Linked DNA regions of Drosophila melanogaster. The protein of the gene in region 2 interacts with the protein of the main gene of each other region in a pairwise test. Each region holds a gene or a part of one and is shown on either strand. Other genes may lie near its edges.

Region 1 (3,930 bases), on a different chromosome or scaffold from region 2:
TATAGCTTATGTAGACAGAGATTATAAACCTTAGCGAATACGAAATGGATAATAAAATCGTGTGCCTTAGGATTGTAAAATATGTAACAATTTGTATTATTAACCAGGCGCCGTCATCCGACCAAGTCAGCCAACGCTAAGGCTCCTCGTACTTCCAGAGTATGTCGGGTTCCTCCTTGAGCTTCAGCTCGCCATGTCACGTGTCTTCTGTAATTGTTTCCGTTGCGGCTACGCGCTCGGGCGCCGTTTTCCCCTCGCTGACCAGCGTGGATAGCTCATTCGCATCATAGCCGATCAATAGCTTCAAATCGCAGTCAAATTTGTATGCGAATCGCTTGCCGGACACCTTGGAGATCATATCCCCATCGTAATAGTAGCGGAGAGCCCTTGATAGCTTTTCGTAGTTCATAGCGGGTTTGTTTTTCTTCTCGCCCCAAAGGCGTGCCACTCGATCCGGGTCAGTGAGCTTAAATTCTCCCTCGGTGCCCACCCACTCAATAACGTCCGTGTGCTCGCAGTCGGTGAGTATTTCGAGTAGGAACTGCCATAGCTGCACTTGTCCATTATTCCCGGAACCGATGGTAGTGTAGTTTGATGGATTCATGGATGACGTAGTACTTTCAACGGCTGTGAACGAAGTAGATATTGTTAGCTCATGCTTTGGTGTAACATTCACACGTCTACTTACAATCAGAGCTCTTGACTGACTGATAGGATTTCCGCATAATCCGCTGTTCAAGCGAAAGGCTGCCCCCTGAATTGGTCGATATGGAATTGGCCGACATGATTCTTGGTTGCTTGGGCTTACGCTGCTCCTCCGCTCGTTTGTGCACTACGGACACGAAATTACATTCTTTTAGCAGCTGGAGGTGGGTCCAGAAGATGTTGCCTGGATCACGGGGCAGCTTCTGATTGAATTCCTCGTGCGTCATTGCGCAGAGTTCCTGGCCATTCATTTGCCAGTCGCTCATGTTGATGCCAACTAGTTCGAACTGCTTGACGGCCCACTCCAGCCAGTACGTCACGTGTGCGTGTGTCCATTCGTTGGCCGCCTCGGGTATCTTCAGGCGTATTTGTTCTCGCTTAAACTTGCTGTCCAGGACCCAATTCAAGACTGGCTTGACATCCTTGCCCTCGACGGATTCCTCTTCGGAGTCTTCCTTGTGCATGCGCTTGAGTGGGGTTTTGATGGGGCTTTCGCTGGAGGAACTCTTCTGGCTGGCCGTTTCCGGCGGCGAGAGCTGGCCCACCACCTCCTCGGCCAAGGCAGCCAGTGCGGCCTCCGTGGGCTTCAGGACGTCGGCGATGTTAATGCGCTTGCGAATAGTTTGTATCTGCACGTTGATCTGGACCAGGCCTTCTCCCTTGACGCATTGGTCCACGAGATTCTTGTGCGATTCCAGCTGCAGGAGAGTGGGGGCTTAGGTAAACATTTTATTACGCCGCAGATAGACTCACCTCCTGCGCGTCCTGCAGCCAAAACGTGTAGTAATTCAGGCACACTCCTATCTTTTGCTCAACAAGTGATCTGTGGGTAGAAATGAGGGTTATTTGCATGACTAATGGGGGCCAGTCTTCGCCAGACTCACTTGAGCATGCTGAGCGGCTCCCGGATGTCCATGTGCACGATGATGATGTCGTCCGGCTCCGCCTCCGTCTCCACATCGATGCTATCCTCGAACATTTCGCTGGCAATCACTTCTTCTGCAAATTGTTTACAATTAATAATTCGGTGTAACAACAGGTGCGTCCCAATTGGGAAATGGCATCATTCCACTTACCCAGGGCACCGCCAACGCTGAGGCGGCGTATTAGCTCGTCCGACAAGTCATTGCTGCTGTTCATCGCGGCTTAAAATCGCAAATAACTGCCTATATTAACAAAATGTTTTTAACAAATTTGTCTCGTGGATTTATTGTTGCATCTTCAGTGTGACCGTGTACGTCGGGTGTGGCAATACCGAATAATACTAAGTGGCGTTGGTACAGGGCTGCATAGTCACTGGCCAGTATTGCCACCAATTCTATCAGATTTCAAAACTCTGGCGGTTCTTTTAAAAGTGATAAAAGTTTCGAAAAAATGTAAATATGAATGTAAGTTAGCAAGTCTGAAATACAATATTTGCTTTAATGATGAAAAAACTTAATAGCATCATATATATTTAAAGAAAAACATCAATTGTTATTTAGTTTTAAAAGAATACATGATTTTGTTATAGTTTTTACTGGCAAATATTTTGCCAGTTTTGAACTATTTTCAAGTTCCCTTTTCCTGTGTGGAAATTCATTGATCAAAAATTTCTTTCATCACCAGCTATTAATATTTTGAGCCTAACGATCTATAAAAATTAGCAATCTGGTGACAAAATGTGTGCTCGCCCCCTCAAGTGATTTCCTAGAAATGCCATCGAAATTAATTGAGGAATTCAATTCGCAACAACAAGTCGATGCTTAAGACACCCACTTGTGGTTGAGTGGTTTGCTCTTCATGCGATATCTTTTCGCCACTTTCTTTCGCTGCAAGACTCAATTGGCCGACACAATTGGCCATGTTTGTGCGTCGGCCTGACTAGGAAGCACTTGGGTGTTCCCACAGGCAAGTGAAGTGGCCAAGTGCTGCTCATTTTCAGCTAATGCTGATTAAATGCCCCGTAACACGATCAGTGGGTCAAAACGGCGGGACAATGAATGCCAATTGTGCTATGGAGCAGAGGACAGCCTCAAGTGCACAGAGTACTTGTTAACACAAGCGTTTTTCCATGTACCATGTACCGAGATATGGACAAAGACGGCTCCCGGCCTGAATAGTCCGGAGTTGGGAGCATTACCTCATGCTGTTGACTCAGTTGGCATAGTAGATGAACGATATTTGCTTGCGAATATCTTGCTGATGACAATGTTTGATTTTGATTTCGGTATTAGCTATAAGTGATTCAATGTCTGCCACGAATGTTCTGGCACATCATCATCCCCATATTGTGCAACCTTGCAACTTCATTTTCCCCTTTCCGTTTCGTGTCCGAAAACGAGGGAAACTAACAAGCCAGAGTGCGGATTTTGTTTTATTTGGGGACTAACTCTGCTTTGTTTACTTGCCAAGCTGTTGACTAATATTAGCCAGCTGGTCAAATTCAGGCGCTTCAGGTCAGTTTTTTTTTTGGTTTCATTTTGCGTACTTTCCAGCCATTTGAAGTTGAGTCATTGTCAAAGTCGTCTCATTTGGATATTATTAGATGTGAGTGGTAGTGAAATTTCTATCTTTCTTTCTCACCACACAAACCCTTATTACTCATTATATGCTAATGAGGACTTATCTCATTGCACGTTAAGTATACGCCGCATTGACCTTCTGGCAGATAGAAATCTATGCAGACCGAAAATTGTCTAGGTCATGACACCCAGCTGCAATGGGGCAACAAACAGATGAACGAAACCAGCCCAATGACAACGTGGAAAACTCACTCAAAACCGTTAGCGTACATAAAACTATGCGCAGTCATTGTGGCGCCTTTGACTGCCAGAAATTCCCATATATTCGGCTGCCAAGAACCGTCGAAATAAAAACACAAAAAAAAAAAAACAAGAAAAATAAAGGAAAACAACCCCTTGGGGTTTTCGCCTCTGGATTATTTGTCCGCCGAGCGTTCAACTCCACGGAATTGCGTCACTGGATGGCTAGAATTAAATCAATAGGGACAACTCCCACGCTGAGCACCAAAGTGGAGCACCAGAGCCCGGGACTTGGAGAATTTGCATTTCCGTGGCCCATACTGAATGGCCAGTATTTGGGTCGTCTAAGGATTGCTATCGCTATCGCTATTGCTATTGCTGCAAGGACATTTCAAAGGCGGTCGGCGTTTTCGTTTCAGCTTTCTTGCTCTTCGTTTCATAATTTCTGGTTTTTAATTAATTGGTTTTTTTTTCGAGTGAG
Region 2 (3,930 bases):
CTGGGTCTTGGCATGCGACAGCCAAATAAAAAGGATCCAGGCTATTCAAAATAAGGTAGCAAGACTCATCACCGGCTGCGAGTGGTTTGTGCGAAACACCACCCTGCACAGAGACCTGAAACTCGCAACGGTATTTGACGAGATAAACCAGCACTCGAGCAGGTACCATGACAGGCTGGAGCGCCACAGAAATCGGCTGGCCAGCGCTCTTAACAGATCTCGCCCACCAAGGAGGCTCAACAGAAGGCAACCGAGGGATCTCATTTCCCGATCTCCTTTGACAAGGGTCAGCAGAAGCTGACGCTTATCAAAAAACCTATTTATTATATGTGTTTGTTATGTACTGTATTATAACTGTATAAACTAGAAAAAGCTAACTATAGTTAGCCGGCGCGCCCAAATGGGCAGAAATAATAGAAAAGAAGGACACAAAGGGGCTCCAAGATTTCCCCGTATGCCTTAAAAAATAAATTTAATTATAAGAAAAAAAAATGCACTGAATCTGTCAGCCTAAAAGTATGCTTCATTTTCGCCCAAACTACATTTTCTATATGTATAAAAAAAATACATATTATATACATAAATATAAGACTAAAAAGGCCCCACCGACAGGACCTATTATTTAGAACGCTGTTGTAACAACTATCTTGATTGTTAATATAGGAACATGACAAATATTTACCCTTGTAAATATGTAAAAATTCGTTAACGTTGAATCAATACAATAGTATTATTAATTTCCCTCCTCAAATATATAATTGTTTAAGATGCCTGAAGGTAGCAGTACAATAATTTAACTACGTGTATCCAAACTTAAAATAATATGTAAAATACATAAATTGGTAAATAACAAGAAAAAAATGTTGCCGATCAAATGCGCTCGTAAATTTTAAAATACCTGATGAGATGTAATTCGGGCAATTTGTACACATTCGTTGCACACCATTTTGCATTGATGTCTATCTGCCAACGATAATAAAAAATACATTAAAAATGTACGTTAAGCAAGCTTTCACACAACGGAAAGGTGTTTAGGTAAGAATTGGGTACCAGGGCGCACATATCCTTGATTTTTTTCATCTAAGGATAAGAAGAAATGATATAATCTGGCCCGTCCCGACTTATAAACTACCTAAGACTTTTGAAAAACTTTCGTGCAGATCTGTATGCAGCTTTAAACTGAGGGACTGACGACGGACGGCGATGAACACTGAGTTTGATACTGATCAAGAATATATGTATGTATATACTTTAATGTCTCCCACACTGCGCATCAAGGTTTTTACTGGAATCAATATACTCTCTGCAAGGGTATATTCCTATACACTTAAATGACTTAAATGTACAATTGTATGTACATATTTATGTTAATGTAAATAGTCGTGTGGCTGCTTCATGAAATAAATGCGATAGTTCGGAGTATTTTCCAAACCTTTTGCATACCTTTTGGCGAACGGATGCATTTAAGCCCAAGGAATATTCATATTCGTACATATGTATGTCTATAGGAAAGCAATTTGTATAAATGTGCTAAAAGCATTGCACAGCCATATTAACGTATTTATTAATGTTGATTTTAGAGTAAAAGTTACCCCAAGATATTGATTCTTATGTATAGATTTAAAATAACAAATCATCACCCATATTTCTGACTGTTGTTATTTAAGATATGTGTAAATATGTACACACATATATAAATGCATATATAAACATGACTAGGAACTCGCCTAAAAATCCAAATTCTGCACACTTTAGGCTTGAAGAAAATTCAAAAAGTTTGCCTACTTATTTGTTTTACGTCAAAATGAAGAGACTGTGTTTTCCAAGTCCAGTACGTCCACATCGCACTTATTGCTAATACGAAAGCTTGATTTTAAATTTTTTCTTATGCCCACATTTTGGCGTAAATGCACGAATACATAGACATAGTGAATCACAAAATCTCAGGAAAATAGCTAAAATGGCAAAAGAAAGATCAGAAGCATAAGCTCTAAGGCACGCAAACAGAGAACAACCAACACTATCAAAATGAATGACAACTAGTTTTAGTTCAAGGAGAGCGCTTCATGCGAGGAATCAACGTAAATAAAGGCACCAACAGTTGATAAGTGAGCGAGTCGTCTTTTACTTTACGAGCGGCAAATTAATACATAATATGTATGCACGTATGTATTTTAATAAGGGAAGTAATAGCTTTTGAATATGCAATCGCCTTCAACGGTATTTAGATACACCTTAAATACCCGGTCGCAAGAAAAAACTGGTGGAAAGAAAAACCAGCCGACTACATTTACGCCATTGAGGCCACATGGATAGAGCGGAAAACTGGCTGTGCGCCATGAAACAGACGGACACCAAGCCCGCACACATATACACCAGCGCTCGAAAAATAGAAACAAAAGTCGTGTAAGTGTTTAATACAAGCAACAGTCAGGGAGCACGCACACCATCACCGGCGGTGCAAACAACGTAGGAGAGGCGAGAGCAAAGAAAGAGTACTGTAAGCCATCAGCGCGAAACTGTGTGTGTACGGAAATGCATTAGTATGTGTGAGTGGTGAGTGTAATGGCAAACGGCAGCAACATTTATTTCGCTCAGTTTTATTTCGTTTTTTCGTCGCAACGCAAGTGCTGGTGAAATCGTTGTGGCAGAAGTCTATTTTAAGTGAATAAATCTTTTATTGTGCTCATGTTCGTAATTCCAAAACGTTCGTCGAGACTAAAAGACTTCTGCAAAGCTTTCGAGAAAAGAATAAATGGAAAAATACTATTTTCCACAAAAACATAGCATAGCAATTGTGAACAGCGTAAAACGAGGAAAGCAAAGATCTGCTTCTGTTTCTCACTCTCTCGGACTTGCGCTCTCCGCTTTCAATGATCAATACATTTACAGTTTGTTATTATTTGTTTTTCATTTTGCCTTTTGTTTTGCACGCTCTCAGTAACCGCGCGACGACTTTCTCAAATTGCAAGTGTAAAAAATTCATGAAAACGAAGTAGTGGGCAAGGCGAACTGCATTGCAAATGGTAGTGTGTGTGTCTAAATTTGGTGTTAACAAGAGTAAGCCTATTACACCGAACCCCTGGGATTTTTAAAAAATTTTTCTGCATTTTGTCATCAGCATGTTGGGCTTGACGCTTTGAGATAGGAAATAAAAGGCGCATTCAAATTCGTAACATGGATGCTCAGTTTGAGCACTTGTGCCGCATTTGCGCTGCCAACACGAAAAGCAAGACGAATTCCGTGGTTGAAAGTGTGTTTATTTTTAAAACACAGGGACTGAAGGATAAAATATCTCGACACCTTTATCTAAATGTAAGTAAATAAAAAGGAACAGCCTGTTTGGCGCTGCATCAAATTTAATCCTAGATCTGAATAAGTATCAAAACAAGACCTCCGCGTACTTGCTAAGACTCGACATTTAAAAAACGTATTTCTTTTTAGGTAGCTGAAGAAGATCCTCTGCCAAAAGTGCTCTGCAAATCTTGTTACCGCCAAGTAGAGGCCACGGCGTCGCTTTCAAATATAGCAAAACATACTCAGCTCGTGTTTCGGGACTTTCTCCTTAGTACACTGGTAATCGATTATATACCACTTATATATAATCAGCAAGCTTACAACTTATTAAATCTTCCAGCCTAAGAATGCGAGGGAAGCGGCTGCTGCACAACTGAGCGTTCCAGCAACCCAAATCCCACACCGACACGACGAAGTCCAAGCGGAAATCGATGAATTTCGCCCCATTTTGCTGACCCACGTGCCGGAGTCCGGAAACACCGCTTCCAAGCCCCAACCAGCCAATTGCCTGGAGCTGGCCCCAAAAACCGGCGAAAACTACTTGGCTGCATCTTCCTCATCCTCTTCTCTGAGCAAACCCGCTGGATCAGTAAAGAGCTATCTTAACACTGGGAGACGCAACAGCGTTTTTAC

The links.
Region 1: the proteins of dbr (region 2) and Ets97D interact in a two-hybrid assay, tested with the Drosophila melanogaster proteins (one large-scale study listed by BioGRID).

The regions. Positions count from the first base shown.
Region 1 is NT_033777.3:26,910,916-26,914,845, forward strand, and holds the start of Ets97D (Ets at 97D), read right to left. Parts: upstream 1,972-3,930; 5' UTR 1,846-1,971; coding exon 1,782-1,845; intron 1,705-1,781; coding exon 1,590-1,704; intron 1,529-1,589; coding exon 1,459-1,528; intron 1,404-1,458; coding exon 689-1,403; intron 628-688; coding exon 197-627; coding exon of another isoform or gene 137-196; 3' UTR 1-136.
Region 2 is NT_033779.5:64,448-68,377, forward strand, and holds the start of dbr (debra), read left to right. Parts: upstream 1-2,034; 5' UTR 2,035-2,165; intron 2,166-2,228; 5' UTR 2,229-2,556; intron 2,557-2,595; exon of another isoform or gene 2,596-2,941; 5' UTR 2,942-3,060; intron 3,061-3,121; 5' UTR 3,122-3,177; coding exon 3,178-3,315; intron 3,316-3,444; coding exon 3,445-3,576; intron 3,577-3,637; coding exon 3,638-3,930.